Astyanax mexicanus: one gene and its partners. The protein of the gene in region 2 purifies or fractionates together with the protein of the main gene of each other region. This does not show direct contact. Links are inferred from orthologs where the notes say so. Each region holds a gene or a part of one and is shown on either strand. Other genes may lie near its edges. The genes, in order: serine/threonine-protein phosphatase 6 regulatory ankyrin repeat subunit C, ppp6c, ppp6r3 and ankrd44.

The links.
Region 1: the proteins of ppp6c (region 2) and serine/threonine-protein phosphatase 6 regulatory ankyrin repeat subunit C purify together in Homo sapiens (affinity purification with mass spectrometry; 6 studies listed by BioGRID and IntAct, with this or other methods). This does not show direct contact. The link is inferred for Astyanax mexicanus from reciprocal best matches to the Homo sapiens genes PPP6C and ANKRD52.
Region 3: the proteins of ppp6c (region 2) and ppp6r3 purify together in Homo sapiens (affinity purification with mass spectrometry; 10 studies listed by BioGRID and IntAct, with this or other methods). This does not show direct contact. The link is inferred for Astyanax mexicanus from reciprocal best matches to the Homo sapiens genes PPP6C and PPP6R3.
Region 4: the proteins of ppp6c (region 2) and ankrd44 purify together in Homo sapiens (affinity purification with mass spectrometry; 5 studies listed by BioGRID and IntAct, counting the BioPlex papers as one, with this or other methods). This does not show direct contact. The link is inferred for Astyanax mexicanus from reciprocal best matches to the Homo sapiens genes PPP6C and ANKRD44.

Annotation. Positions count from the first base shown.
Region 1 is NC_064431.1:14,604,892-14,611,971, reverse strand, and holds the start of serine/threonine-protein phosphatase 6 regulatory ankyrin repeat subunit C, read right to left. Parts: upstream 3,025-7,080; 5' UTR 2,850-3,024; coding exon 2,823-2,849; intron 1-2,822. Other genes in the region: coenzyme Q-binding protein COQ10 homolog A, mitochondrial, read left to right, coding at 5,473-5,570. UniProt on the Homo sapiens protein: Putative regulatory subunit of protein phosphatase 6 (PP6) that may be involved in the recognition of phosphoprotein substrates.
Region 2 is NC_064408.1:18,384,824-18,392,087, reverse strand, and holds the start of ppp6c (serine/threonine-protein phosphatase 6 catalytic subunit), read left to right. Parts: upstream 1-4,249; 5' UTR 4,250-4,334; coding exon 4,335-4,409; intron 4,410-6,890; coding exon 6,891-6,986; intron 6,987-7,101; coding exon 7,102-7,167; intron 7,168-7,264.
Region 3 is NC_064417.1:10,376,457-10,384,239, forward strand, and holds the start of ppp6r3 (serine/threonine-protein phosphatase 6 regulatory subunit 3), read right to left. Parts: upstream 3,004-7,783; 5' UTR 2,874-3,003; intron 2,492-2,873; exon of another isoform or gene 2,282-2,491; intron 1-2,281.
Region 4 is NC_064418.1:3,467,352-3,474,935, reverse strand, and holds the start of ankrd44 (serine/threonine-protein phosphatase 6 regulatory ankyrin repeat subunit B), read right to left. Parts: upstream 3,011-7,584; 5' UTR 2,534-3,010; coding exon 2,507-2,533; intron 1-2,506. Other genes in the region: sf3b1 (splicing factor 3B subunit 1), read right to left, coding at 5,572-5,730, 5,847-6,063, 6,771-7,043. UniProt on the Homo sapiens protein: Putative regulatory subunit of protein phosphatase 6 (PP6) that may be involved in the recognition of phosphoprotein substrates.

The DNA of each region.
Region 1 (7,080 bases), on a different chromosome or scaffold from region 2:
TAAAAGCTCTCATAAATGTCAGCTGTTTTTGGGGGAAAATGCTCCAGTTATCCAGTATAACGCTGCTTTAGTCCGCTGGAGAAGCGAACGGGAGAAACAATAGGATTTCAGCTACTGCTCATGAATATTCATACATGCTAACATATCGCCTCTGATTGGGCAATAGCACTGCAACACCAAAAGGCGGATAAATTTAAATTATTATTAAATTATTTTTACACTAATTACAGTTTTTGCAATGTCATATACAACACATGTAATGCCCTGCTAAGTGCAGTACATCCACTGCTCTGGTCTTAGAGTCTCTGTAAAACAGAGTCCAGGTCCAAAAAGTAAAAATCCACCACCAGGCAGTTGAAACAAAACCCAGGGGTGGATTTTTACTTTTAACTAGTGTAAACAGAACTGTTCTAAAAAAAATACACCTACTTTCTCAACTGTACTTCGCTGGTGGTGTTCCATAGACAAATTCTAACCATTTGTTCCTTAGCTCTAAATTACTGGGCAAAGCATACAACACTGATGCGAGCCAATGAATACTAATTCACAAGTTGACGTAGACAAGGTGCTTTTCCTGATTTACTAATTTTTCTTTTCATTTTTATTAGGCACTAGAGATAATGGTGGATGAGGAACAATATCATATGCAGCATGCATATACAACTTAGACTTGAGAGCAAAAATATATTTGGGACATTCCTTTCAAACACTATTGAGGTCATGTCCATTGACTGTACAATAAGTCAATATTGTAATTATTGTGACTTTTTTTTTCTTTAGATGGACTTTGCACTTCTGTTAATTTACTATAATAATACAAAATTGAGATTTGACTGAATACATTTTCCCCTTAGTTAAGAGTGGATGCTTTAGTTAAACTGAGGAAACTATTTAATATAATTAATACATTTTACATAAAACTAGCTAGGCTATGTAAAGATTTAGGAGGAAGCTTAATGAGGAAACGCTAGAAGTATATACCGTTAAATATTATTTTATACAATGAGAATTTATGGGCTGACTGGTAAATAAGTTTCTATAATTACCAAAATTTCCTGGATTTTACTAAGTCTAGATTTAATTAGACTTAATTTAATTAATAATTTAATTTAACTTAGATTTACTTGGCAAAACCTTGCTAAGCTAGTTGGCAAGCTAGCTAACTAGATATTTAACTTAAGTTACCTTAGCCAGTGCGAGGCTATTTTACTGACTAAATGTTACGAAATGTATAGAGAATTTTATAAATAAATACATAAAGGAAAAATAGCTCGCGTTAGATAAATCAGCTAAAGCAGCGAAACGTATCTAAAACGTAAGCCAGGGTACAGTGACTGTTAGCCAGCTAGCTTAGCTAATTAATGAGTAGAGCTACTCGTTAGTTACGCTGGGCGCCAATTTGAGAGAATATGCATTATGTAGCGTTATTTAATGTGGCGTTTAGTTTTAGTTCAGGGTTTAGATTAAAACTAAAATGTTTCTTATCTATAGGAGGTGAGAGATAAACCAGTTAGCTAACGCTAGCCTAACTAACCACTAAATGTTTCTCTCAGTTAGCTAACTAAGCTAACTAGCATTATCGTTAGCTTAGGCTGAGAGCTAGCAAGCAGGTTAGCCGCTAAGCTAGGCTAAATTAATGCAGTAAATGTAGCGTTAGCTAGGATGGCTACTATTTGTGATAGTTTGTGCACTCTATTATAAATATAAACTCAATACGTTTCAATTTAAATCTGTTCCTAATCTAAATCTATAAGAAATAAGCTTAAAAACTGAAAAAAGGCCATTTCTGTCTCTCCTTAGTCGCCTAATCACTGAACCCACCCCTTTTGACAAGCAGGGTGTTCTGCCGATTTGTGCTACCATGTCAAACCATGCTACCACCGTGTATATTTATAGATAGCGAAAGTTTTGTTCTAATTAAATAATAGCTAGAATATTTCAACTGTTCCAGGTTAAGGGCATAAACTGAAATCTTAGCTTATCTTAGTTTAATCCTTATAAATCTAGTTTAAATATTTGAAATTTCAAAAGTCTGCTTTGCTGTCAGAATATTATAAACATTCAGCTTATTTTTAACCAACTTAATCTACTGAGTTTGTCTTATTCAACCGGCAAATATTGTCGCTTGTTTTATGCTTTATTTTTTAACAAGAACGAAAAGATCAGTTATTTCAATAATTAAGCAAAAATATCTGCCAATATGTTTAAACACTTTTAGTAGACTAAACCACTTAAAACAAGTAAAAATGATTATTTACTCGATTTTCTGTTTGTTTTTTCATCTTGTAACAAATGTTGATTGGATTATACGATTAGATTTTGTGTTACGAGCTGCAGAAAGCAGAGAGGCAGAAATAAAGTAGAACACTGGCAAATGATAAAAAATATATATTTTTAATTACATTTAAAAAAAATAAATAATGAAGCTTTACACGTTAACAGTTTACTATTTTCAAATGTATGCACAAACATTCGGAATATTTGTTGGTAAACGGATGAAAGTTACACTGGCAAAAATCATTGTACTAGGGTAAATAAAATGTAAGTGGTGTGATTATTTTTGTTGTATTATTTGACTGGAGTCGGCTTTTTTACTTTAAAACAAATAATAACTGTAAGGTTAGATAATATACATGTATGATTGACCCGAGAAAACAGTATTTCTACGAAAAATACAATATATTTACGTAAAAAAAAACAGCCGGAGCATGCGCAGAGCTGCTACAAACACATCTCGGTGGGTAGCACAAATCGGCAGAAAACGGGGATAAAGAAAGCCGTGCAGAAATATCTGCGCGACAATTCGGGGCGTCCAGACTCACCTGCTCTGTAATGCTTAATATTCCCATCTCCCCAAAATCAGCCGGGGCGCAGCTCCTTCATCAGGCCGGGGTGGAGAGAGGCGAGCGCGGGTTATTTCGGGTTATTTCTGATCAGTACTGAAGGTAAAGGCTAGCAGCACCTCCATCCACACTCGCCGCTGTTTATTGCTCTGAGCAGCAGAGCTACGAGAACAACCCCCCCTACTGGGACGGCGGCGGAACCACACCAATGTAGAGCTGCTTCAAAATTAAAGAGCCCAAACCCACATTGTCCACTCTATTGCATTTTTTCTAGTGTTAAAGTAAAACATTAGTGTCAAACATACACTAGAAATCTTTAAAATTCTCTTTTAAAATAAAATATAAAAAAGTGTCTCATTAAACCTGATTGTCCGAATCGAAAAGTGGATTTTCATAATTTTTAACAGCATGAGCTGACTGCTAAACCAGAATGCATTGTGAATCTTGTTACCTAGCTAGGGAACGAACTGGACACAATGATTGTTGCTTTAAGCATTGGTATTTACGATAGTACTACTTAGTGCTCATAGTATTTATAGTACTTATGGTCTTATAGTGTGTTTCTAAATAACACAAATAATGGTTAAACATTATTTCCTGAACAGTGCAGTTTTGGGTACAGCTGTTTGCACGTGCAGAAAATTGTTCAACAAAAGATATGCCTTTCTTGTCAGAAAAAAATATAATTTACTGGTCCATCTCAGGCAGCTTTACATAATGTTTTACAAGGTTTGTAAGCCGAAGATGGTTACAAAACTCATGTGACATTTAAAAAAGCATGTTTGAAAGCAAGTCCACTAATTCCTTTGATTTCCTCTTAAGAAAGTCTTTATTTTAAATAAATGGTTGACTGCATGTTCAAATAATTGATATATATGACAAAAGAATTCACTCATGTTACTTGAACTTATTTCTGTTACTATTTATGTTTTTAGTATAAGGACTGAAAGTAACAGGAACAAGTTCTTAGCATAGGATTAGCGAAAACATGAACAATATCTAAATGGCAGCTATGCTAATAGCAGATGTCCCAAGTCTCCCGGAAGACGTGGGAGTCTACCGCATATCAATAACGGCTCCCTGATGCCTGCAAGTCCGATAAAATCTCTCTCCCAGAATCTAGCATGTGCACACAAGCGACTTTTCCCCAATCGCGTGTTGAAAGAGAAGGAGAGGGAGAGAAAGCGCTCCCCTTGTGTGCATATTAATGAAGTGCATGCAAAACCAAGAGGGTTATATATATATATATATATATATATATATATATATATATATATATATATATATATATATATATATATATATATAAACATTTATTTATTTATTTTTTGGACAGGGGATTGGGGGTGTCCAAGTCCAGGTCCGGGGGCACCTCCCTGAAATTAATTTTTGCAACTTGGGATGTCAGCATGTGGACACTTAGCACATTCTACTGATTTTCTCTAAATTTGTGTTAAATTTGTATTAAATAAACAAACAACAACTAGCCTTAATATTATAGATTTATTAAGAAAAAATATTTTAAAAGCATAAATGGGAGATCACACAACTATGCAAAAAATGACATCTCTGATGGACTTTAATAATTATATTTCACGGTAAATATTGATAAATAGATGGATAGATAGATACTTTATTGATCCATGAGGTGAAATTCTAGACATCCAGCAGCAGGTATGTATAGTACACAAAGTTACAAAAAGATAAAATATAACGATACATATAAATACAATAAAATAAAAAATAAAAGGAAAAGTATAAAATACAGACTTTAGTGTGTGTGTGTGTAATGGAGAATGTAGGTAGTGCAGTTGAACACAATAGACAGAGAACACCAGTTGATGTGCATAAAGTGAGGAGTTAGAAGGTGTTTATAGTTAGAAGGTGGGAACAGGTCATTTTAGGTGGTTTTATATGAATTTTTATATGAATATGCTTAAATAAGAACACAAGCTTCTGTTTTTCTTAGTTTTTTACACTCATTGAATGAAATATAATGTCATATATATGTTTGTCTAAATTTAGTGAATGAAACTAACAAAAAAAACAGCCACGTGTTCCACGACGTGTGCCCTGCGTCACGGGTTGTGGGCGGGGCCTGGCGTTAGCCGCTAGCGGCTGTGAGCTGTCTGTATGATCAGCGGGTTGAAGTGCAGCTGCTGAACTTCGCTGTGTTTCTCGGTTCTGGGCTCCAGTTCGTTTATTACCGGCTCTGTGGGATAAAGCGGGCCCGGCGGTTCTGTGTTACTGGGCTGGAGTCTGTAGCGGGCTGGCGTGGGGCTCGGTTCGCCGCTGGTTCTGCGGGTTAGCCCAGCCCAGCCCAGCCCAGCTGCTAGCTGTTAGCTCTCTCTGTGGTTCTGAGTAAACAGTTAAAATGTGAATTCAGCTCCTTCATTCTCTGCTCTCAGTCATGCTTCTCTTTCCACTCTGGACCTCTCCGCTGTTCCTCACTGTAAGAGCTTCTGGACGATTCGGAACCACCTGAAGCCTGTAGAGCTGTGTGGTCCCGGGCTGTAAACACAGGCTAAGGCTAGCTGGTAGCTGGAGGACACTGCAGGGTCCACAGGGAGCCGGTTCTGCTGGGGATGTCTGATTATTTTCTGCTTCAGAAAGAGGAAATTCTACCTAAATGGCTCTCCAGCTGCGCACTCGACTCCTGTCCAAAGAGTTCATCAATATCTCCTTTACTTCTGTAAGATCTAGAGCCCGACCAGACCAGCCAATCAGGTGAGCAGAAACTCAGTAATATAATATTACTGTTTATAATAATTATAGTAATAATAATAACCATCTTTATTTATATAGCACCTTTAAAATGTAGTTTAAAGTGATGTACATGTACATACACAAACAGATTAACAAAACCTCAGAAAAATAAACAAAACTCCCATAAGAAGCAAGAAAATAAGTTAAGAAGAGATTAGCACAGTTAATACAGCAATACAGATTAAAACCTAAAAAGAAACAATAATCCAACAACAAAACATTAGTTTAATAGCCACACTGATAACTATGTATATTTTAATATGCAGTATATTGTTCCTGTGATGATTGCAATTTTATAATTAACACTATTACGGTCACTCACATTTCATTTATCAAATAAAGGTAGCAACATTAAAGGAGACATTCTGTGTGAAATGGACTTGGGTGTAGTTAGGGTTACCACCTTTCAGAAATGGGAAAAAAATAAATGTGTGTGTGTATGTATATGTATGTATGTGTATATATATATATATATATATATATATATATATATATATATATATATATATATATATATATATACACAGTGGGGAGAACAAGTATTTGATACACTGCTGATTTTTCAGGTTTTCCCACTTGCAAAGCATGTGGAAGACTGTAATTTTTATCATAGGTACTCTTCAACTGTGAGTGATTGAATCTAAAACAAAAATCCAGAAAAATACATTCTATGATTTTTAAATAATTAATTTCCATTTTATTGTGGGAAATACAAGTATTTGATCATCTATCAACCAGTAAGAATTTTGGCTCTCACAGACATGTTACTTCGTCTTTAAGAAGCCCTCCTGTTCTCCACTCATTACCTGTATTAACTGCACCTGTTTGAACTCGTTACCTGTATAAAAGACACCTGTCCACACACTCAATCAGTCAGACTCCAGCATCTCCACAATGCCCAAGACCAGAGAGCTGTGTAAGGACATCAGGGATAAAATTGTAGACCTGCACAAGGCTGGGATGGGCTACAGGACAATAGGCAAGCAGCTTGGTGAGAAGGCAACAACTGTTGGTGCAATTATTAGAAAATGGAAGAAATGCAAAATAACGGATAATCTCCCTCGGTCTGGGGCGCCATGCAAGATCTCACCTCGTGGAGCATCAATGATCTTGAGGAAGGTGAGGAATGAGCCCAGAATTACACGGCAGGACCTGGTCAATGACCTGAATAGAGCTGGGACCACAGTCTCAAAGAAAACAATCAGTAACACTCTACGCCGTCAAGGATTAAAATCCTGCAGTGCACGCAAGGTGCCCTTCCTCGAGCCAACGCATGTCAAAGCCCGTCTGAAGTTTGCAAATGACCATCTGAATGATCCAGAGGAGGAATGGGAGAAGGTCATGTGGTCTGATGAGACAAAAATAGAACTTTTTGGTTTAAACTCCACTCGTCATGTTTGGAGGGACAAGAATGATGAGTACAACCCCAAGAACACCATCCCAACCGTGAAGCATGGCGGTGGAAACATCA
Region 2 (7,264 bases):
CTAAAATGTTTACTAAAAATGGGATAAGGCCTGTTCTGCTGCCTTTGGCACTGGGTGCCTTTACAATGTGCAAGGCATCATGAAATCTGCAGATTACCAAAGTTTTTCTGGTCACAATGTTGGGCCCATTGTCAGTTTTTTGTGTTGTTCCAGTACACACAAAGGAAATAAACACGTGTATTACAAAATGTGTAATTTTACAATAATAATTAATTTTCTGGTATAATTTTAGGGGTGCTAATACTTGCTTTCAGCCATGACTGTATGTCCAGCAAATCATCCAGACTTTTTTTACTTGATCTGGTTTGTGACAACAGCTAAATCTACAATCCAGCTAAAGTTGAGGAACGTTGATATGTAAATACATATGTTATTATGCAAATTTGAGAAGCTGTGGAATTTGATATGTAACAACTGTAGGACTGAATTAGGTGCTTGGAGGGAATTGGTACTTGCTGTGAGTCAGTCAGAACATACAGAGGCAGGATGTAAAGTTAACAGCTGTACTGGAACTCCTCTTCACTACAGCATAGCCACACATAGCATTAGTTGGAATAAGGAATGCACCAATATGAGAACTCTGGGCTTATACCAATATCTAAAAATACATGGGTACCTATCTGCTGGTGCTGATGTCAGTGATGATATACACATTTATAACTTACAGAGAGATGAGACACCCAAGAAACGTTATAACTTTAAAACTCATAAAAAAAAATAAAAATCAACTTAAATCAATACATTTTAAAATAGCACGGCCAGCGCTGACCAATTGAAGTAGTGCGGCCAGTGTTGCTTGGTCCTTTTTGGATATAATATATAGGTCAGTAAATAAAGGTTTAAAATACTGGCCATATTGATGATACTAAAAAAGCAATTATCAATAATTCCCATATCTTTGTGCATCCCTAGTTTGAGTGTGTGGCTAATACACAAAGGGGGAAATAGACTATGTATAAAAATTCAAGGCTGATAAACAATTCACAAATTGTGAAAAAAAACCAAAACATAAACAAGTAGATATAAATCTAGGCAAAACAGCAGCAATAATCCCAACAAACAGAGAGTCAGTAGCACACTAGCATTAAATTAAGGCTTTATGTAGCTGTGCTAATCTGGCTAACAACACAGAGTACTTTTATTTAAGGCTAATAAGAGAATAATAACAGTGTTTTACTTATCCTAAAGGTTATATTAATAGTATAAAGAAAGAAGCTGAGAACTCTTGTGAAGATATGAACTTACTTTACTCTCATGAACACAGCCAAAGCAGGTTTTCACTGCTTTGTTCTCTCTGTGATTAGTACTGGCTAACGCTAGCTAACTGCCCTCAGAAATACAGCACGACTGAGCTCTCTAGTGGTCATTCTAACAATTACACAAATATGAGTAAGAGGTCAAGCCTGAGGCCTAAATTGTGTTTAGAGAGCAGTCTCAAGGATCAGAAACAAAGCCAATTTCAATCCAGTTTAAACCATTCACTGCTATGTTTAATCACTAACTTTTAAAATGCTTGGATGCTTGTGTAAAGAGTAAATTCCACAGCCCAGAAACAAGGTATATCAATTGTTGCATACTGCTGTTTTAATGCCTTTGTTTTAAGACTTGTTGGCAAAGTCTTGTGTTATGATTGCTAGAGTTCTACATATGTTTGTGTTATTTTTATATATGGTTCTGTGTTCTGTACTTTGACTATGGATCTGTCTGTATTACAGTATATCCTGCTTACCTGTGTTTTGACCCCCTCTTGCTATGATTATAAATATTGTATTGCCCAAAATAAAGGTATTCAGCACATCACAGCAGCCTCACTCACACTCACAAATAAATATGCATTCACATTCACACTGTTTTTTTACTTATTTACACTTCTATGTAGGGCTGGACAATATAGACTATATTATTATTTCACAATATACTGATACAATATAATTCTGCACATGAATATAACAGTATAAAAACAGCTGATAGCTGGCAATATGGTAAAATATTACATTACAATATGCAAAGATATTTTCATAATACACAGTGCTTATCGCAGTGTTTTGATTTTCGAAAAAGGCATCAGTAGTGGCAGATTTTTATGAACTGCACAATGCAGGTTAACTGTATTTAATTACATTATCTGTGTGTCAGGGTTCTTTAAGCGCCGATGATATCCCTGATATGCTCATTAAAGCATATTGTAATATTACACATTTTACCAAGAACATTTGACATACATATGCATAAAACTGTAAATAACTGAGTTTGCTTTTCACAGTTATAATAATATATATATATTATAATAATATATATTATAATCAAAATAGGGATTACAATGTGTTGTTACAAAATGACTCAAAATGTTTCCAGTACAGCCAGCAGGTGGCGCAGCTCTGCAGTTTCCCTCCCTATGGTACAGTGTGTGATTTCTGTACGCTGGCTGGAGTTGCCAGGTTTGTGATTTCCACACTTTTTTTCGCTCAACCATGAGTGTATTTTGACCCTGATTTGAACATCTGGGAATCCAAGGACAAACAGGCCAGAACAGTAGACCAGTTGTTCCCATCCCTGTTCCTGGAGGATCAACCTGCCCCGCACCTTTTAGTGTTTACCCTGCTTCTTGATGAGTGTTAGTGTGAAGGTGAGTGCATACCCAGCTGAAAAAAAACATCCTGGTTGTTACTGTTGCAGGAGCTACCACTATGTTCTTACATGCTGACCAGTATGACCAGTTTTATGATACTAATTGACCAACATGACTACCAGTATGATCACCAAATAACAAAATTAGCCAATCAATTTGACCAGCTTGTCGATCAGCTTAGTCAATTTAGTCATGTTTACAGTCCAGCCAGTCCATCAAACTTAAATGAAAGGTACATCATCACTGTCCATTGAAAAACAAGTATCTCCAAAGTGGCTACTTTACAGAAGAAAGATAAAACCTACTTAAATTTCAATGGAAGTCAATGTAAAAATAGCTTATTTCAGGTCATTTTGGAGAATTTCTATTGATCCATTCAAATTCAGAAATGTTGACACGGTGTAAGGGACAGTGTGTGTGTTCAAATTATGTAGTAAACTAGAAATCCACAAAAATGGAGGTATAGGGTATGTTTCAGGTTAAATTACCATCTTTTTAACCAACTTTACAATCAAGGACCAGGTGAAACAAGCTCCAGCAAAAGCAGGGCATACATTATTTCACTGGTGTAAAGTCGAGCAACTAATGTAATCACGAGTAATGTAATTTATGAGTAAATTACTAAAACAAACAGAACCTGTGTGAATAAGTGATTAGTTGAGGAGAGTGAGAGAGAAAGGTAAACTCAAGGTGAAGTTAATGTTAAGTCTATTGGCACTTTTTTCCACTGTGTGGTCCCTGCAGTATTTGACTCTATGACCTGCTTTTTGCTACCTGGTACCCCCGAAATCTCACAATTTAGCTGCTGACATTGCAAAACATTCACTATGTTACCTTTAGAGCAACAACACAGCAACAACAAAGGAACTGCTAAAAGGATTGTGTTTCCAAAGCCTGCAATGTGAGTGGCCAGTCAGAACTTTAAATGTTTCAGTATTACATTTACATCTCTAAAGTAGTGCAAGTACCATGCAGTGGAAAAGCACCATAAAAAAGTGTCATAGGCACAAAATACATTAACTTTGCATCACTGCAAGTTCTCCAGATGCCATTTCTTCTGCACATACTGTATATCCTCGGCCACAATTTGTCTAATATTTGTGACCTTAATAGTGTAAAACATTGTCCATCAAAACCACCCTCAAATATGTATAGTAACTGGTAAAAGTTTGGACACACCTCTTCTTGTCCAATGTGTTTTCTTTCATTTTATATGATTTTTTCTTTGTAAATTTAATATTAAAGACTATATTAAAGCTATATAGGAGCACATACTGAATTATTCTGTACACAAAAAGTGTTAAACAAACCAGAATATGTTTTATACTTTACATTCTTCTAAGATTCTTTTTTTTTCATTCAGTGTATTTTCTTTCCTTTTTATTATTTTTTTTTACATTGTAAATTTAATATTGAATACAATATTAAAGCTTTACAGGAACACATGTGGAATTATTTTGTAAAGAAAAAGTGTTAAATAAATACATGTAAAAAACGAATAATATTTATTTATATGTGCGTTATTTTATTTATACTCATTTTATTTGGGTGGGTTTTTAACTGCTCTTTAGGAGTGGTGGATATTTGTACCGGACCTGGCAACCCTGCCGCTGCTGCGTGTGTTTAACCGACCTCAGATCAGCTTCTCCGGGGAGGGAGGTAGACGCGCTTCCTCTCTGCCCTGCGATGAGCTGTTGTTCTTAAAATGGCGCCGTTAGACTTGGACAAGTATGTTGAAATTGCGAGACAGTGTAAATATCTTCCAGAGAATGACTTAAAGGTAAGTGTCCGCCTGTTATTTGGGGTTTAATTTAAGCTGTAGAGGTGTGGAAGCGCTCCTCGGCCTCGGTTAGAGGTGAAGAGGACTGCTAAGCTAAATGCTAAAGTTGCTAGCGGGGGTTATTTAGGCTAGGCTAGGCTAAGCTAGTTCAGTATTAGAGCTCAGGAAGCTCAACTAGCTTCAGTTAGCTTGATAGTTAGTAACTCTAAAATGTGTTTAACCATCTGTATTTGCTCGGTATCATTACTATTGTATATAGTTAGCTGGTCAAACTCATTTAGACAGCTAAACGACTAACCTGCTAGCTTACATAGGCTAGCTAACATTTACCACGACGTTGCTAGCTAGCTTAGCTTAGCTAACTGTTGGTGCCAAAATAACCAGGTTTAGCGAACCAAACCCAGCAACGATTTCTAACGTTATTCAGTCTCTTTCCACGCCAGCGTATTTGCACTGCAAATGTAGAATCTCTTCACCTTCATAACTCTATGGTCTCATTTTTATTAAGTGTTATTAGCCAGCCTGCAGTCAGGATCGAGCTGCGCTGCTGCTGCTGTTAAACTGCAGTGTAATGAAAACCGAATTAAGCTACAGTTAACCTAGGTTGGCTAGTTGACGGTTTCTGACACACCTTCTTTGGTCGTTTGTCTCATCAAATGGGGATGCAAACTGCAGCAGTCTCTTACTAAACATACAGCTACAGTTTTATTTTACGCCTTTATTTTATCTCTGTCTCCTGTTGATAATATCGCTCATAGACATTAGAGCTAAGTAAATAAGACATTCAGGAGTCCAGCCCTTCCAGTTCTTATGAAGATGCTAAAGTGTCAAATAATGCGGAGTGAGCACTTAATCAATTTACTGTTTTCAACTAATGTGATTTTCAACATTTGCTAATCGAGATTATAGATCTTTACATATAGAACCTGCAAGCGGGAATCTCGGTAGATAGGCCTATGCTTCTGTTAAGAAACATGTAGCTTAATATACATGTATACATTTTTATATACATCTCTTACGTTACCAGTAACTTAATTTTCATTTATTTAATTCATGTTTTCTTTAACTGAAATATTAGAAAGTTGGGTGTAAACCTTGTGTAATATAAAAGCTGTTTTTAAGTTTGCAGGGAGCTGCTTGCTATTCTTAACAAAAATGACTTCCCTTAACATGCATGTTTGCTAATTTCATATAAAGCTCTAAATGCTGCTGTTTGTTTCTCTTTTCTCACATATGTAAAATATTTAATATATTTAATATTTTATATATTTAAGATTTTATTTTACTTTATATTTATTTATTTTTTACAATATCACAGAAAATCTAAATTTTATTTGTTTATCTTTACAATATCTCTCAGCCCTAGTATCAAGGTAGAGAAATACATTTTAGGGTCATAAACAATTTCCCCAGTTCAATAAGTAATTGAATAAATGCACTCATGTTAATAGGTTAAATCTTTCAGCTATTTTAGTAGAACCTTTTAGTAGAAACAGTTCTAATAAAAAAAAATCTATTTTACAGTCCTGTCTCTCATTTTAGTAATTACCTCAATTTAGAGTCTATACTTTACTTACATTAAAAAGTGATTATGATTTATGAAATCAACAAGCAATGTATTACATTAAGGTGAAATTGCTCCACAATGTTAGGGGGAATATATACATTGAATCATATAAAAAATAATAATTATCTTGTCAGTATATCAATAATGTATTACATCTTAGCAATAAATGATATTGAGCAGATACAATCTATATTTGGGAGAGGTTGTGGAAAATGAGATCTGCGAAAAATGTTCCTCTTGCATAAAACAGTTAAACAGTAACTTGCATAAAATTACTCGGCCTGCGATTGTTAATATTACACATGCTTATATTGTGATGACAAATCTGCAGCAATGTTTTGTGCAGCCCTATTTGGGAATGATTTAATAAATGGAGGAAATATTTTAATTCTCAAAACATTTCTCTTCTGTCTTTATACTTTTGCTTTATACTGTACTGTTAGGCTTGCACCTGTTTGTAGCTGTGATGTCTATCTTAATTTATTTAATATTAGTTTGTTTTCTTGTTTGTTTTATATGTGATTTCATGGCGACCTGCCTGAAATACCATAGCAGTCAACATGCCACAATATAGCAGTGTTTACTTAGCAACTCCTTAGCAACCATCAGGGACATCTTAGAAACCACCTGAAATACCATTGTAATAAAATATAAACAGCCTTGCAGAAAGTGAGGAAAAGTATAAGCTGTTGAGGAATTTTGCTTTTCTTTCAGGAAATGCACTTTTCTAGTTAAAGTTTGTACTGCTGCTCTGTCACAGAGACAGGTGCATTAGCATCATGCCTTACAGTGTTTTTCATTATAATTGCAATTATTTGTCACTACTCATTTAACTTATCATAAGAAAAATGTTTTGCTAAAAAGACTGTGACTCCTGAACAGTTTGTAACATTTATCTTTGTTTGCTTTGGCAGAGATTGTGTGACTATGTATGTGACCTGCTACTAGAGGAATCAAATGTACAGCCAGTATCCACTCCAGTCACCGTTTGTGGGGACATACATGGACAGGTAGGTTCTGTTAAGAAACTGTAATAACAGTGTTTTTTGGATTGTCCAGTTTTATAATGTTGTTTTGAGTGCATTCTTAAACACAGTCTTGTTTTCTCTGTTTTATTTTTCTTAGTTTTATGACTTATGTGAACTCTTCAGAACTGGAGGACAAGTTCCAGACACAAACTACATTTTCATGGTATGTTTACATTGGAAATGACGGCAATGATTTGCTTTCAGTTATTTTTTTGGAACCTGAAATAAACTGCAAATAACAAAATTGCTGTTTTAATTGA
Region 3 (7,783 bases), on a different chromosome or scaffold from region 2:
GTAACTCGTAAACAAAGTAAAGGGAAGTTTTATCAGACTAAGCCTAAATAAACATTTGTAGCATTATGTTCTAATGCATTACACACAAACATTGCGTATAGTAGCAAAACCCCTACATTTAATATGAATAAAATCTACGGTATAAAGTGCAAAACTAAGAATCATTTCAGAAGAAACATAATGACTTTTACCAATCCTAACCTGATATTATACTGGTCTGGAGTGACACTACTAACTGGAGAAAAGACGAATGGTCAAAATTTATATAATAGACAGTGGTAATACAAATGAGCATGGCCACACATCTAAACATTCAGGTGTGTCTAAATTGTTTTTGTGCTGGTCTGACATGATCCACTCTAAACAGTTTAGAGTTTGCAATTAGTGAGCAGAGCCCATTAATTCGAGGGAGTCGACATTCTAATGTCACAAGCACTATGTGTTTTTAAAATGACTAATATATTTTATCTTATTCTGGAACCTATAAAACAACTCCAAAGTGTTTGACAGGTGTAGTTCAAACCACATTGACAAAATCAGCCATATACTATTAAATAAACCTAAGATAAACTGATTTGGGCTTCTTGTTTACAGATTTCAGATTAGTGCAAAAGTAATTGTATATTTACACAAGCATTCAAATTGTGTGGTCAAAACACACAAATAAGAGTGCCCTAAAATTTTGCTCATAAACTTTAAAACACAACAGGTACCATCTTACAAGCACCACAGAACTAAAGTCTGCAGGTGTTTTCTCTCCATTGCGCATGGATGAGTTCTGGATTAGCTCTGTAGAGTTTTGGTACTCTACAATTTAGCTGACAGTTATATTAATTTGCACTTAATTTAGGGCTGGACAATATGGCAAAAATCTAGATCACAATATATTTCTTAATTATTGTTGAAATGATACAATTTCCTATATATCATATGAACAGTATTGAAGTCTCCACCCTCCACCGTATGCAATAATGCACTGAGAGCTGGGTGATATGGTAAAACATTCTATCACAATATTTAAAGACATTTTCACATAACAGTTCAACAGTGTTTATCGTAATCTGACATGCAGACAAAATGCACAACCAGTGGCAGATTCTGATATTCTGTTATTAATTTGTTTTTTAATGCATAGTACAGTGATTCTTCTTAAATTTTTGCTGCTCACCATCCAATTAAACAGGATTTTACAATCTCTGTAATGAAAAGTACAGTTGGATTAGTGTTCTTTAAGCAATGATTAGATTGATATGAAAATGTATTACAACAGTAAAATAAAATAACGATATATCGCCCGTCTCTAACTACCATTTATCCAGACGTGGTTGGACTTCAATGTTTAGAGCAAAAAACATCTTCGCACCCACCATAACAACCATCTAGCGACACCTTACCAACCCCCCACGAACAGTCAGTCAAGTTCAAAATCATTTCGTAGATTTTCCCCACAAAATAGACAATCAAACTGATCAGTAAAACGGTGTTCCTGGAACAGAGGCATTCTGTTGGCAATTTGGGAAAAATTTACTGAGTTTTCTGAATTTCTTTGTAGGAACATCAACTGCGAAGACTGCAATAGGAACAACGCACCCCTGTATTTACACGCTGTCTGATCGTCTTACAGCTGATCATAATTCACAGCTGGACTGTTCAGCCCTGATCTGTTGTTATTCATTTATATTATTGTGTTCCACTGTACTACAGTTTCTATAAATCACAAAAACAATCCAACTTCGCCATTAGCCGGCTAACCGGATTAAAGTATATTAAGGTAAACTAACTAGTAAGCTAGCTAGCTAATTCGATCAATTGTAATTGAGAACCCAATAACTCAATCTAATCCCCTAAACAAAAGTCAAACACCTTCTAATGTGCTGTTTATGAATCCGTTTCTCAAAAGTTACTCCATTACAGGCCCGGCATTAGCTGCCTATGCTAAGCTAAATCAAAATTTAGGCACTGGCAGCGCAGAACTCCGCTAGCATTAGCTTTACTATTAGCACTCGTCCACAGAAACGCAATACGCTGGTTAGCACGTTAACAATAACTCGCCTCAGCCAGCTGATTGGGTTTTAAAGTTCACGTATATCAGGATACTGTTTCAGAACGGACCATACAACTTAGTTAAACGTGTGTAAACGTTGGAAAAATGTAATAAAACGCGATAGCCGCGTAGTCCGACTGCGCAGAGCGGAAACGGTTAGCTTTAGCATTAGCTTAGCTTTAGCTTAGCATGCTAAGCTAACGCTCTTTCATAGCGAACAAACGGAGAGAAACGTACCAATTAAGAGCTTTTTACACAGCAGGACCCCGACATGAAGCTGGGAGACTCCTCGGATAAAACGGCAAGTCGCTTATAAAAGGTTTAAACATAAGAATACCGATGAAAAGATGAAGATACTGGTGTTAAAGTGTTGACAGTCCGAGTCTGACAGGCGCGAAAAACACACACAGCACCTCTTCAAGATGGAGCTACCGTCCCCTTCCCCCACTGCATTGACTGTACATGTCAATCAAAGGCGACTGCCGAGCGCTGATTGGACCGTGCGCACGTCAGTAAACACAGGCCACTGAAATTCAAGGAACGTCAAACGCTGTGGCTCAGTTCAGCTGGAGAAAACTTAACCAACATTGAACCTAATTTGCTATTTTAATTCACCGCTATCAAATTAATATTATAGTAATCTGCTACATTGGGCACGCCCACGCTATATTCAACCAATAAGACTTTCGCGTACTACAAAAATCTGCGAACTGATTGGATTGGCTGCGTTTTCAACCACAAATCCCGCCCTCAACACAGAAAAGCTGAACCCGCATCAAACTACGTTTTAACGTTTCGTGTAAAATGTTATTCGAATAAAACGTCTCACCGACTTATCGAGTGCGCGTCATGTTCCCCTCTCAGGTACCCACATGTTCAGAGGTTTACAGCAGAAAGGGAGGATTAGAAACACGTTTAAAGAGGAAAAAACTCAAACTCCGATTCGCTTCGTTCTTCTGTCTTACTTGTTCTCAACGCCTTAGCAACAACCCGACGTCAGTGTGACCGACAGGGCCCTCAGCCAATCAGCGTCGCTGCCGTCTGTGGCCGCGCTGCTTGTGTTTGCTGTAACGGGTGAAGCAGGCAGAGCTACATCTCTGTTGTTGGACTTTTTATCAGCACAGTGTGATGAAAGGAGTCATAATAACCAGAATGTGATATAAGATCATGTCATGTTTAAATTCACACTCTGACTGTGATTCACTTCAGGATCTTTTTTATTATCCGTGTTCACTGATAAGGAGATGTATTCCTCCCCCCACTGGTAAAATATAGGTCAGACTGTCCCAAGGATCATTTATGCCATGAAGCGCAGCAGCTACTGCCCGGCTGGTTCAGTGTGGTGTAGCAAATTGGACCTGACATCTGACCCTTAGATGTGGTTCAGAGATCCGTGCAATGTGATAAGACCGGAGCATGGTGTGGTGTAATATGATTGTGCATGAGCTGTACTGTACTTTACATCAGAACCACGCAGATTGTCGTGGTAAAAACTTACATTTAGAATTTAGTATTTTATATATATATATATATATATATATATATATATATATATATATATATATATATATATATATATATATATATATATATATATATATATATATATATGTTTTATTATATTTATTTTATATAATATATTTTATATAATATATATATACAATCTATATATATATATATATATATATATATATATATATATTTTTTTTTTTTTTTTTTTTTTTTTTATAAATTATTACCTGTGCAGGCAGCAGCTAACAGGGATCCAAATAAACCAGTAAAATAAAACAGAAACTGAAATGTAAGGAGCAGTTTAATGACTGATACATTGATAAGGTAAGTAGTTAAGTAGTTCTTGTCATAACGTGGATTACTCTGCCTCTTCACAACACAACTAATACTCTCAAACACATTAAAAGGACAAGAAATTCAAGTAATTAACTGTTGATAGGTTCAGAACAGCTGTTCTGAGACAATTCAGATGTGCAAAGCTGTCATCCAAGCAGGTAGTGCCTACCTCGAAGAATCTATATTATAACATATTATATGTATACTTCTTATGTCATTTAATAATATATCAAATGTGTCAATATATACGTATCATAAAAAAATACTAGCACCAAGGTGGAAGTGTCAGATTGCATAACAAAGGCTACCAGGAACAGCAAAATATAAAAAATGTAGACTATACTGACAATAGTTCATACAGAAGTAGTGTGTAACATGTGTAACTCAACATGACAGACGTTTCAGCATGAAGTTGTAGCTGTTCTTAATGGTATCCTACAATGATCCATCCGTGCAGCTTAAATATTTTCCTGCACATTTTAAGGTGGGGTGGAGTGCTGGTATCGTGACACATACAAAACCAAATATCTTCAGTCTGGCATCAATTCTGGTGATGTGGCTGGTCTTCAAGCGCTTGAGATGACAACAGAATGCTGACAATCATTGTCTTGTTGGAATATTGCACCAGGCCACCAGTTCCAAGACCATGTTCACATAATGTTGGGTTGCCTGTAATGAAGATCAGAAGTGATCTGTCACGTTAGGAATATGCATCCTACACTATGACACCAGCTGTCCTGGATGTGTGCCACGTGATTTAAAACAGTATTGGCAATGACCACAGTGCTTTTTTCACAGTCAGTATCACTCTATGATAGTCTGGCTTGACAGGAATGGTCTGTGTGCATGCAGTCCTGTGTCATGCAGCCATCTGCCAAAGGTGCAGGCACTAAAAGGATAATTAATGGATTTCCCTGTCCCTCGTTTGTGTAACTCTCCCAGGTCCTTCATTTCCTTGGTAAGTGCTTTCTTCTACACACAGCACTTCCTGAAGCTCTACAATGCATTGACTTGAGACACATGACATGGACTTTACTCAACAAAATAAGACTTGACTCTACTTTAAATTTACCTTCACTGACTAGGATTGGGACTTGGGCTTAAAGACACAAAAATAATTGGCAACGCAGTTTTAATTTTTTTATTATTATTATTTTATTTCCAAGTGTTCAAATTAATTGATTTCATGACATTGTTTCCTGTCGCACTGTGCAGCTCTGCATACCTCACGCTGAAGTAAATGTGCCATAAGAGACTATTTGTTTATTTTAAAGGTAATTAGCTCCCCTCATCCATCACCCACACAGGAGTTTCTTGAAGGAAATACCTGAAGTACCAGACCACCCTCTCTGATCGTTCAGTGTAGGGTGGCTAGACGTTTTAATCAGTCGGGTTTGATATCAACCGTGTTTAATATCATCGCAAGTCTTGAGACTTGGCTCATGCAAATAGTGACGTGAACAATGTTAACAACCAATTGGAGAGGGATGGGGATGCCACAAGGCAATAATATTTTGGTTTGCAATTAATGACTTTATATGCGTCTTACTTTAATATGTACAGTATTTTAAAGTTATTTTATTTTGCACTATTTTGTGTTATTGCGCAGTGTTAGTTTTGTTACAAACAATTTTAAGAAATACAATATTTGCAAGAATAATGTAATTATTGCATTAATTCTATCTAAAACAAAGGCAAATGTATAGCAGTGAAACTGATTCTTTGCTATACAAGGTTAAAGCTTATAGAAAGAGTTGAACACAAAATTAATTCTATTAAAAATATGTAGAACTAACAGTGTGGCAAAAAAAAAATTGTTGATGGGGACAAAGGTTGTGAGTCTCTGATAAATCACAATATTGATATATTATTTGTAACTTAATATGTAATATGTTTTGTATATTAAATCCACCAGAAGCATGATGGGTAATAATCTCAGAAAGAATCTAGTTGCAGTTTTGCAATTAGTGACCTCCAGTCTAAAGCTGTCCATACATTACACGACTTTGAAAATACTCTACAAAGACTTTTAACAGGCTAAAGTCTGATCCCCTCTCACATCTAAAGTCACAGACTTTTTAGTCACAGAATAGTCACAGGCAAAGATTTTGCAAAGACAGGGTATCACTAACTGCAAGACTGAGACTAGATTCTTTCTGAGATTATTTCCCATCATGCTTCTGGTGGAGTTTACATACAATACATATTACATATTAAATTACAAATAATTAAATTACAGTCAATACTGTGATTTATCAGAGACTCACCACATTTGTCCCCATCAGTTTATTTTTTTCTGCCATACTGTTAGTTCTTGATCATTTTAATGAAATACATTTTATGTCCAACTCTGTCTATAAGCTTCTTTTTCCCCTTTTTTGCTACAACCTTGTAAAACAAAGAATCACAGTTTTAATGCTATAGATAGAATTAATGCAATAAAGATCATCATTCTTGCAAAATGTGTATTTACTAAACATGTTTATTAAAAATAATACTGCACAATAAGACAAAGTAGTGCAAAATAAAATAACTATAAATATAATTACTTTAAAATACAGTACATGTTAAAGTAAGAACCATATAATACCTGCAAAATGTAAACTGCAAAATGTGTTCTTTTTCTAAACACTAAGGTGAAATATTGTTTTGACTCTTCCTGTAGACATTGGTTGTTGACATCGTTCACGTCACTATTTGCAAGACTCAAGACTTATATTAATATTAAACATGGTTGATGACGAGGATGTGAACCCGGCTGACTAAAACTTTCAGTTGTAACCACCTTACAGGTGCAGCTCGACTCTAGCAAGGCAATGAACTCATGTGTTGATGTAGACACAGTGCTTTTCCTGATCGACTCGTTTTTCTGAAAAATGTTTTTACTAGCTTCTGCAGACAATGTATGTTAAAGAACAGTTTCGTATGCAGCATGCACATACAAGTCAAAGAGATCTATAGTATTTCAAAAAGAACATGAAAAAAGCGGATTTTAGCAGAAGGAGACCCTCAATGATTGTTTATTGTTCAGCTCAGAAAGGACATGTTAATTGGTTTATTAGTCTGGTCAGGTGTGCTGGGAATAGTTCCTGAATATGTTTTTAAACACTTGGTAGGATAAGGATCTTATATGTTTTTTATTGAACTCATTTGGAATTGACTCCCTACAAGAAGGTGTTTTATTACTGTAGATTGCCCCAAATAATACAGTAAATTAAAGTAAGATTTTAACTGTTATTTAAAAATTAACTCTATAAAAAGAAAGTGAACACCACGCAGGCCAAGATCCATGCATTTTCAAAATCTAACATGTCTACCGCTGTCTTTAAGTTGACTTTTAAGTTGTAAATGCAGATTAAATTACTGCTTTATGGCAAAGATTTAAAAAAATATATATGGTGATTGTCAGTCCTAAATCAATTTAGTGACTTGTTTCCACCTCTGCTGCAACCCCTCTCTAATTCTTCTAACTGCTCCATCTGCTTTCAAACTTCTCCAAGGGATACTTCTCTCACAGAATACTACCAAAACAACAGCATGAGTAATTTTTTTCTGGATGGAACTATTACAGGAACACATCAACAATAATAATCTGGGATTCATATAACTAAAATGATTCTTAAATATTCTTAATGCTAAGATGCTTTTGAGAAACTGCGCCCCCTGGTCAGAAGGGTAGGTGTTGTTAATCAGTTTAGATCTTTTCAGATTGAGTCATTCACATGAAGTATGTGAGATTAAAAAGTTTCGTATTCAGAGACATAAAGTAACAGGGTAAAGGAGACTATTCTAAAGTCATGTTGAAATCACTGGGTTTGGCCAGCAGGAGGTGCAACATCTGTAGAGTACACAGCACTTCAGCCCAAACACCAGCAGGTGGCAGTACAGCCG
Region 4 (7,584 bases), on a different chromosome or scaffold from region 2:
ACGATTTTCGGCATATTATGTCTACTGCGCTTGCGCACATCTCCACAGCAAGGGGGGGGCTTCCCCCAGATCCTTAAGGAAAGGGGAAACAACACGATGGCCTACAAACACAAGATCTACAACCCTTCAACCACTACCACATATATAAGCACCATCCACACATCTACACATCTGTGTAGAAAGGAATCTCAGTTTGTGAGCCTGGAGAGCTGGAATGCATCGTCCTCCTCAAGACTTCCCTCCTGCAGACTTTGGATCCAATCCTAATTCACCCCACCTGATGCATCTAACTACTGCCTTCAGAAGTCCAGAGCTGTGTCTGAAGCTGTGCCCTCCCTATTCACTCTCCAATACGTGCAAAAATCCAGATCACTTTATACAGTAGTTGTTATAGAGAACAGAATTCAACAAAGTAGTTAATTAAATTTCCTTACACTGTAATGTCTGTAATATCATACATGTCAAATTAACAGATAGAAAATTGGTTTTCCTCTAAGAAACTGTAGAATCTCAAGAAACTGAATCTTTAAACTAAAACTACATGGTGAATTATAGGTGTTCAATGTCCACTAGGGTTCATCGATTGGACCGTCTTTTTTTACAAGCATCCTATCAATGTTTTCAATGTACTGACCAGCTCTAGTAGTAACTTAATTAAGCTCAGTAATAAAACAGTGTGTAGATAATGCCTTACCCTCAATAACAGCTGTTCTGTTTTTTGTTATAGATCATTTGTAATGTCTCTGCTTTTTACTATTAGGCTACTATAATTATACTCTGCTCTGTAAAGCAAAACAGCCTCCTAGACGCTATGTATTTGTCAACCTGCATGACACACTGCTTTTAGCTGAAAACATAACCTTTAGCCTCCAGTGTTTGGAGTCACAACATCTATACATGCCCACTGAAATCATCCATACCAACAACATAACACCTTATTAAAAGAACAGAGGAAGAGCCTAATGGAAATTAGATGAGCATGGTTCCATTACAGCAAAGGAGGTGCAAAGGAGGTTTGCATAAAGACAAAAATACAACAAAAAACTAAATCTAAATAGGAAAAAGGAAATCCAAAATATAAGAATTTGGAAGAATATAAAATATAATATATAACAGTCTGCACCATTTTTGTTTGGAGCACTTATTTTCAAAGCTCAGTAAAGATTAGTAAAGTATTGTGACAACTCTGCTGAAAACCCAATGTTGAACTTGAGCAACAACGGCACTAATTTGTACTCTAGACTGAAGTCTAAATCCTTGAGAAACGTCAGACTGCGTCAGCATCCCATCCCAGACTGCACATTATAACTGAAGTCATGATATATGATGTAGTGTTTCATGTAGAGTTACAATAGAGCATTACAGCATTAGAGCATTACAATCCAGGCCTAATTCTGAGACCAAAAACCTTGAAGCCTTTTGACAATATAATTAATATAAAATTATTATTAAAAAGTAAAACTGCTTTTTAAAGCTTGGGAAAGATTTTTAAAGTATTGTGACATCGCTGCTGCAAACCTGATGTAGGATTTGGACTGAAGTTGGACTTGAGCAACAAGGGCACTAACTCAGACTGTGAAAGGTCAAAATGTGTGCAAACGTGTGCACGCATTATAAAGAATATGTTATAACTAACAGAGATAGGTTATTAAGTAGGATAATAAGTATTAACCACACTTATAAGTGCATAACATTTAATAATAGTACTGTGTACTGGGTATTCAATGCATTTTGTAAAAACTAACACAATTTCTATTTTAAGGCTTAATTTTGAGTGTTTATGATTAGAGAACAAGAACCTGACTTGAATCAGAGACTCGAATCAGAGACTCAAGACTCGACTCAGATTAGCATAAAATAGTATAAAAATTTGGACCCTAGACTGAAGCAAGTATTACACTTATAATTGTATAATATTTAATGATAGTACTGTGTGCTGTGCATTTAATGCATTCTGTAAAAACTAACACAATTTCTAGTTTAAGGCTTAATTTTGAGTGTTTATGATTAATGACCAAGAACTTGACACAGAGTCACGACTCAGACTCGAATCAGAGACTCGAATCAGAGACTCAATTTAGAGACTTGAATCAGAGACTCTGGATTCAATGCATTCTGTAAAAATAACACAGAATGCTAAAGCTTTTTTTTTGAGTGTTCATGATTAGAGACCAAGAACTTGAGATAGAGTCACGACTCGGACTCGAATCAAAGACTCGAATCAGGACTCGCAAACGACTCGAGACTCGACTCAGAGTCGGAAAAGTGACTCACTGAACATTTTCTCTGCACATAAATATGGTGATATTGAGCTTTTTAAACACGCAGGGCCAATTTTAGGGTAAAAAAAAATGAGATTTTAGAAGTGAGTTTTGTGTAGAGAATGGCGGAATGAGCTGCAGGTCATTTCCTATTGGGTAACTCTGAGCACTTCTGCAGGTTTCAGCCTCTAAAACAGAGTAAAACAGTGTAAATATTCAGACAGATTTCAGTAAAAGTGACCAACCTGATCGACGAGCTTCAGAACAGCCATATCGAGGGTCACCTGAACCGGTACATCCGAGCCTCCCCCGAGCCCTGAGTGTGAAGGCTGGAGATTTGGAGGAAAAGAAGAGGAAGAAAAGAAAGAATGAAAGAAAGGAGCAGCTGCTGATCCTCCGCTCCGCTCAGTGCAGCAGAGAGACCCGCAGTATCCAGCAGCAGCGGCGGCGGCGGTACAGCAGCGGTAACCGCTAGGCTCTGCTTCAGCTCGCGGCCCCGGGGGCTAGATGGCCGCTCCACGGGCGCTATCTTCGTCCAGCGAGAGCGGGGCGAGCCGCTGCAGCTGGAGACGAGCCGGGGCTGGAGGGATGGAGGCGGGCGATGCCGGAATTAATCCGCATTTACAGCAGCAGCATCAGGGCACACTCAGCTCACACTTCGGGTGTGTTCAGCTCACCACACACACACACACACACACACACACACACACACTCAACACACGCATTCTCCTGCTGCTGCCTGTGTGTGTGTGTGTTCAGATGCTCTCAGAAAACAGGAAGTCCTCAGACTGAGGGCCCTCCCTCTGCTCAGCTCACACACACACACACACACACACACACACACACACACACTACTCTCCCAGGTCTCCAGATCTTTGCATAGTAGACAAAAACACGCACTCACACACACACATGTTCGTTGTTATACACTGTCGGGACACTGGGTCCCATTCCTGTCATATGTTTAGCTATTTTTCTATTTACACATCTACTACTGAAAATCCCAACCTTAAAATGTGCAAATCTGCTATTTTAGCCTTTTTAATTCAAGATCAATCATCTCAGCTCTGATATTATACGCTACTCTTCCAGTTCTTCAGTTTTCTGCATTGTAAGGAGGACATCACGTCCCGAAAGTGTACAAAAACACGCAGAAACACACACACACTCACACACACAATGATAGCACTAGCATGCTAAAGGAGCTTTGCCTCACTGATGGGTCAGTGTGATTACTGTAACGTTTATTCATTTAATTTTCTGACCTTTTAAAACTAAATGCAAACTCATAATTTGTATGTAATGCAGGGTACAAGAAATAAGTTTTCATCCATTTTTTTTTTTCAAATTTAATTTTTTTCATTTCCACTCCTCACAATCGCAATATCAGGAAAAATGAAAAAAAAAAAATTCTTTATTTTCTGATTTTTCCAGTTTTGCATTTTGCGAGTTGGATTATAACATCAGATTTGTGTCACAACAAAACAAAAATACAAAAGAAATACAAATATTAAGAAAAGATTTACATTTTCATTTTTTTAATTCTGTTTGCAAAAGGCTGAAATGAAAAACTCCATAATTTAAAAATTGGATGAAAACTAATTTCTTCTTTACTCTCCTGAATGGAAAATAAAATGTAAAAAGTTTTATTCCCAATTTTCTATTTTGGAATTTAGCTTGATACAGTGAGGGAATTAAACTGCTAATCGATACACTGACCAGTTTTTCTGTATCAATTAATCACTTTATTTCTCACTTGGGTGCTTAAGACTTTTATATTGTTAGTTGTGCTCCATTTAATCAAGTGAGGGCAATTTCTTTTCAATTTTCTTTTTTTTCCATTTTTGTCCCCCACAATTCGAATTTCAGGAATAGTACAAAAAAACACAAACAGAAAAGCAAACTTTTTAGCTACATTTTCTACATTTCTAACACTAAAGAGTGTTCCCCAAGTTTAGAGCACTGCTCAGAACACGTGTCATTAAAAATAATCTTAAACTTAAAAAATAAATAAGAGGAAGTGCACAGAATAGCCACAAGGCAGAAATGCCTGTGCAGCAGTAGGCCAGCAGTCATCCTCTTTCTGCTTTTGGAGCAATGTTTGTATATTTGGAAAAACTAATGAAACTTAATCTCTTCTCTTCCTCTTTTACCATACAGCAGTCTGGGTCAGGTCACTGTAAATGTTTTGCGACCCCATTTAAAACCGTTTCCTTTCACTAACTACGTGACACTGTGCGAAACTCGCTATTTAAGTTGGCCCAGTGCTGGTGTGCTGCTGGTTGACCAATATATACATCTCTGGGGACAAAATGAGATCACTTAAAAATGATGAGTTTCTTTGATTTTACCTAATTGAAAACCTCTGGAATATAATCAAGAGGAAGATGAATGATCACAAGCCATCAAACCAGGAGTAAAGGAATAGTTATCCAAAAGCAGAGTGTAAGACTGGTGGAGGAGAACATGATGCCAAGATGCATGAAAACTGTATTAAAAACCAGGGTTATTCCACCAAATATTGATTTGAACTCTTAAAACTGCTCTGATCTTTTTTGTTATTTCAGCCATTTCTCATTTTCTTCAAATAAATGCTCTAAATTACACTATCTTTTTGTAATTTGGAAGAAACCTTGTCTGTAGTTTACAGAATAAGACATCAATGTTCATTTTACTCAAACATACCTATAAATTGCAAAATTAGAGCAACTGATTCAGAAACTGAAGTGGTCTCTTATTTTTTTCCAGAGCTGTATATGTGTTTAAAGCACAAGCTGATGAATAAAGGGTTGATCAACTCATCAGTGTCCAAAATACAAAACACTGGTTTACCAGCATATATGCACTTTCAAAACAATAAGACAATCACATTCAAAAGCACAAGACTGAACCACAAATTGACTTTTAATACACAAATGTTTATTCAGCCAAAGTAAGCAACATCCAAATAAGAACAGATGAGGGATGATGAAAAGAAGCAGGACAGATCGCTACAGGAAAATCACAACTTTACAATTTGTCCAGACATTCCTGCTAAAGGCTTCACATTTTAGTGAATGTGCCACTACGTTTCACTGCCAATAGTTAGGTGTTTTTTAAAAACCAAAATAATAAAGTTCTTATACGTTTCACGCTTTTCCCACTTTCAGTTGTTTATTAAAAATTATTCTGACCTCAGCATGTGTGATGAATGTAGCTGCAAAGCAACAGAACTAAAAATAGTCTGACTTATTTCTACAAATCATGGCTTATGGGAGACAAAGATGCAGGGAAACGAAAGAGTGTACATGAAAAAGGTGTGTACAGGTATTTATAAGAAGTACTCCAGCTCATAGCGGACGAAGGGATTCTTCTCATCGTTGTAGACGAGGGGATAATGTGCAATCAACGCATCCTGGGAGCCGATGTAGATGGAATTATAGATCTTCCAGTAGACATCACGTACCTTCCGCGCAGGATGGAACAAACCCTAATGTGGGGAAATAATAAAGATATCAGTTATCTGAAGACGATCAGTGGATTCGCTTAACAGGAAATTACAAATAAAAATCTACAGTAAAAAAAGAGCAGAGAACAGAGTCATACCTGTAAGCAGTACTGCAGCATACGGCACGGCCCGATAGCCACGCGGAGACCCTCCAGAGCTCCCATCACAGCCTGAATAACGTGAGGCGACGTCTCAAAGACGTTAGGCCAAACGTAGTTGAGTAAGTGGTTCAGAGAGTCCTCACAGCCAAATCCATACACACCCAGGGACATGTGCTGCACTACAGCGCTCGCCGTCTGCCTATGCACAAGGTCTCTGTGAAGGACATGGAAAGCGTATTAAAAGGAGAGAACAAGCACAAATTTAATATGGATTAGGATTATTTGGATTATTATTATTATTTTTTTTTTTTTTTAACCAAAACCACCAAATAAACCTTAATGAAACCACTTAAATGTACACTACCTATACCTTTAACAGTACGTTTCCTGTCAGTAGTAAATACATTATAAATTAATTATATACAGGATTTGTAGAAATTAGGGCTGCACAACACATTATTTCAGCACTGCCAATGTTCACATGTGCAAGAGTCACATAGGATTACCTGAAATAAACTCACTTTACATTGACTTCCTTTGAAAGTAAAAAAAAAATATATATATAATAATAATAATAATAATAATAAAACAAATCTCTCTCTCCTGTAAAGTTGCTGGTTTGAAGATAATCGTTTTTCATTGCACAATGACAAAATACAATGTCAAATTATATCCAACACATGTTGATGTATGTTGAACCTTACGCTGCTTGCTTCTTAAGGAATGTTTGCAGGCAGATTATATCCAACAATCAAATTTAAAGAATTTCTATATTTTTTATATTGTAATATATATTGCAGAAAGACCAATTACTTAGCATGAATTCCTAACAAAAAACCTTTGAAAGACTTTGATTTTCCAAGACCAGAACTTCTGGTCTACATCAACACTGTAAAACAGTACTCTTTGTGCTGGGCTCACCTGTCCATCAGTGCATCCTCCAATAACGGCGTGACGGCATAGATATAGTCCTTTCCCATTTCACCAATATATTCAAATAAGAAGGAGAGGGACTTGAGAACACCGTTCTGAACGTTGAGCTCTGGGACACGGTATTCATTCATCAGTGCCGGAAGAACCGTGAACGGTGAACACGTCTCTGCCACAATGGCAATGGCGACTGTTGTACACACACGGTTCTGCCGTTCCTGCACTTTTAAGTTGTTGAGTAGTGTAGCAAGCACATCGTGAGGCCTGGAGAAAGAAAAGCATGCATTAGTATTACCAGAACAGCTTATTATATATATATATATATTTTTTTTTTTATAATATATATTAAAATAGGGCTGCAACTAATGACTGTTTTAGTAGTCAACTAATCTGATTATTATTTTACCAATTAGTCACAATTATTATTATATATATATTTTTTGTCATGCCATTTGTACTTTCTACTGGTAAGGTCCCTGATCTAATGCATATTTTTAATGCATTTTGTTTTGTTTTACTACTTTAACTAATGTTATTTATGGTAATGTGTGAGTTAACCCTGTTTAAACTCACATTATCATGCTTTCTGCAGTAGTTTAACCCACCACAGCTAATATAGAAGTCAGTGTTCAAACTACCTGTCGTTTATTTTTATCACATTAAGCAAAGACAGACGGGAGTACTCAGTTTGTGTTTTGTGCCATATCTGCAACATATTGGCTATTTTATGGCATCAACAATGTTTGTGACTCGTGCATCACAGACTTACATCATTTTTTCATATTAAGGACTCCCAGAAAATTAA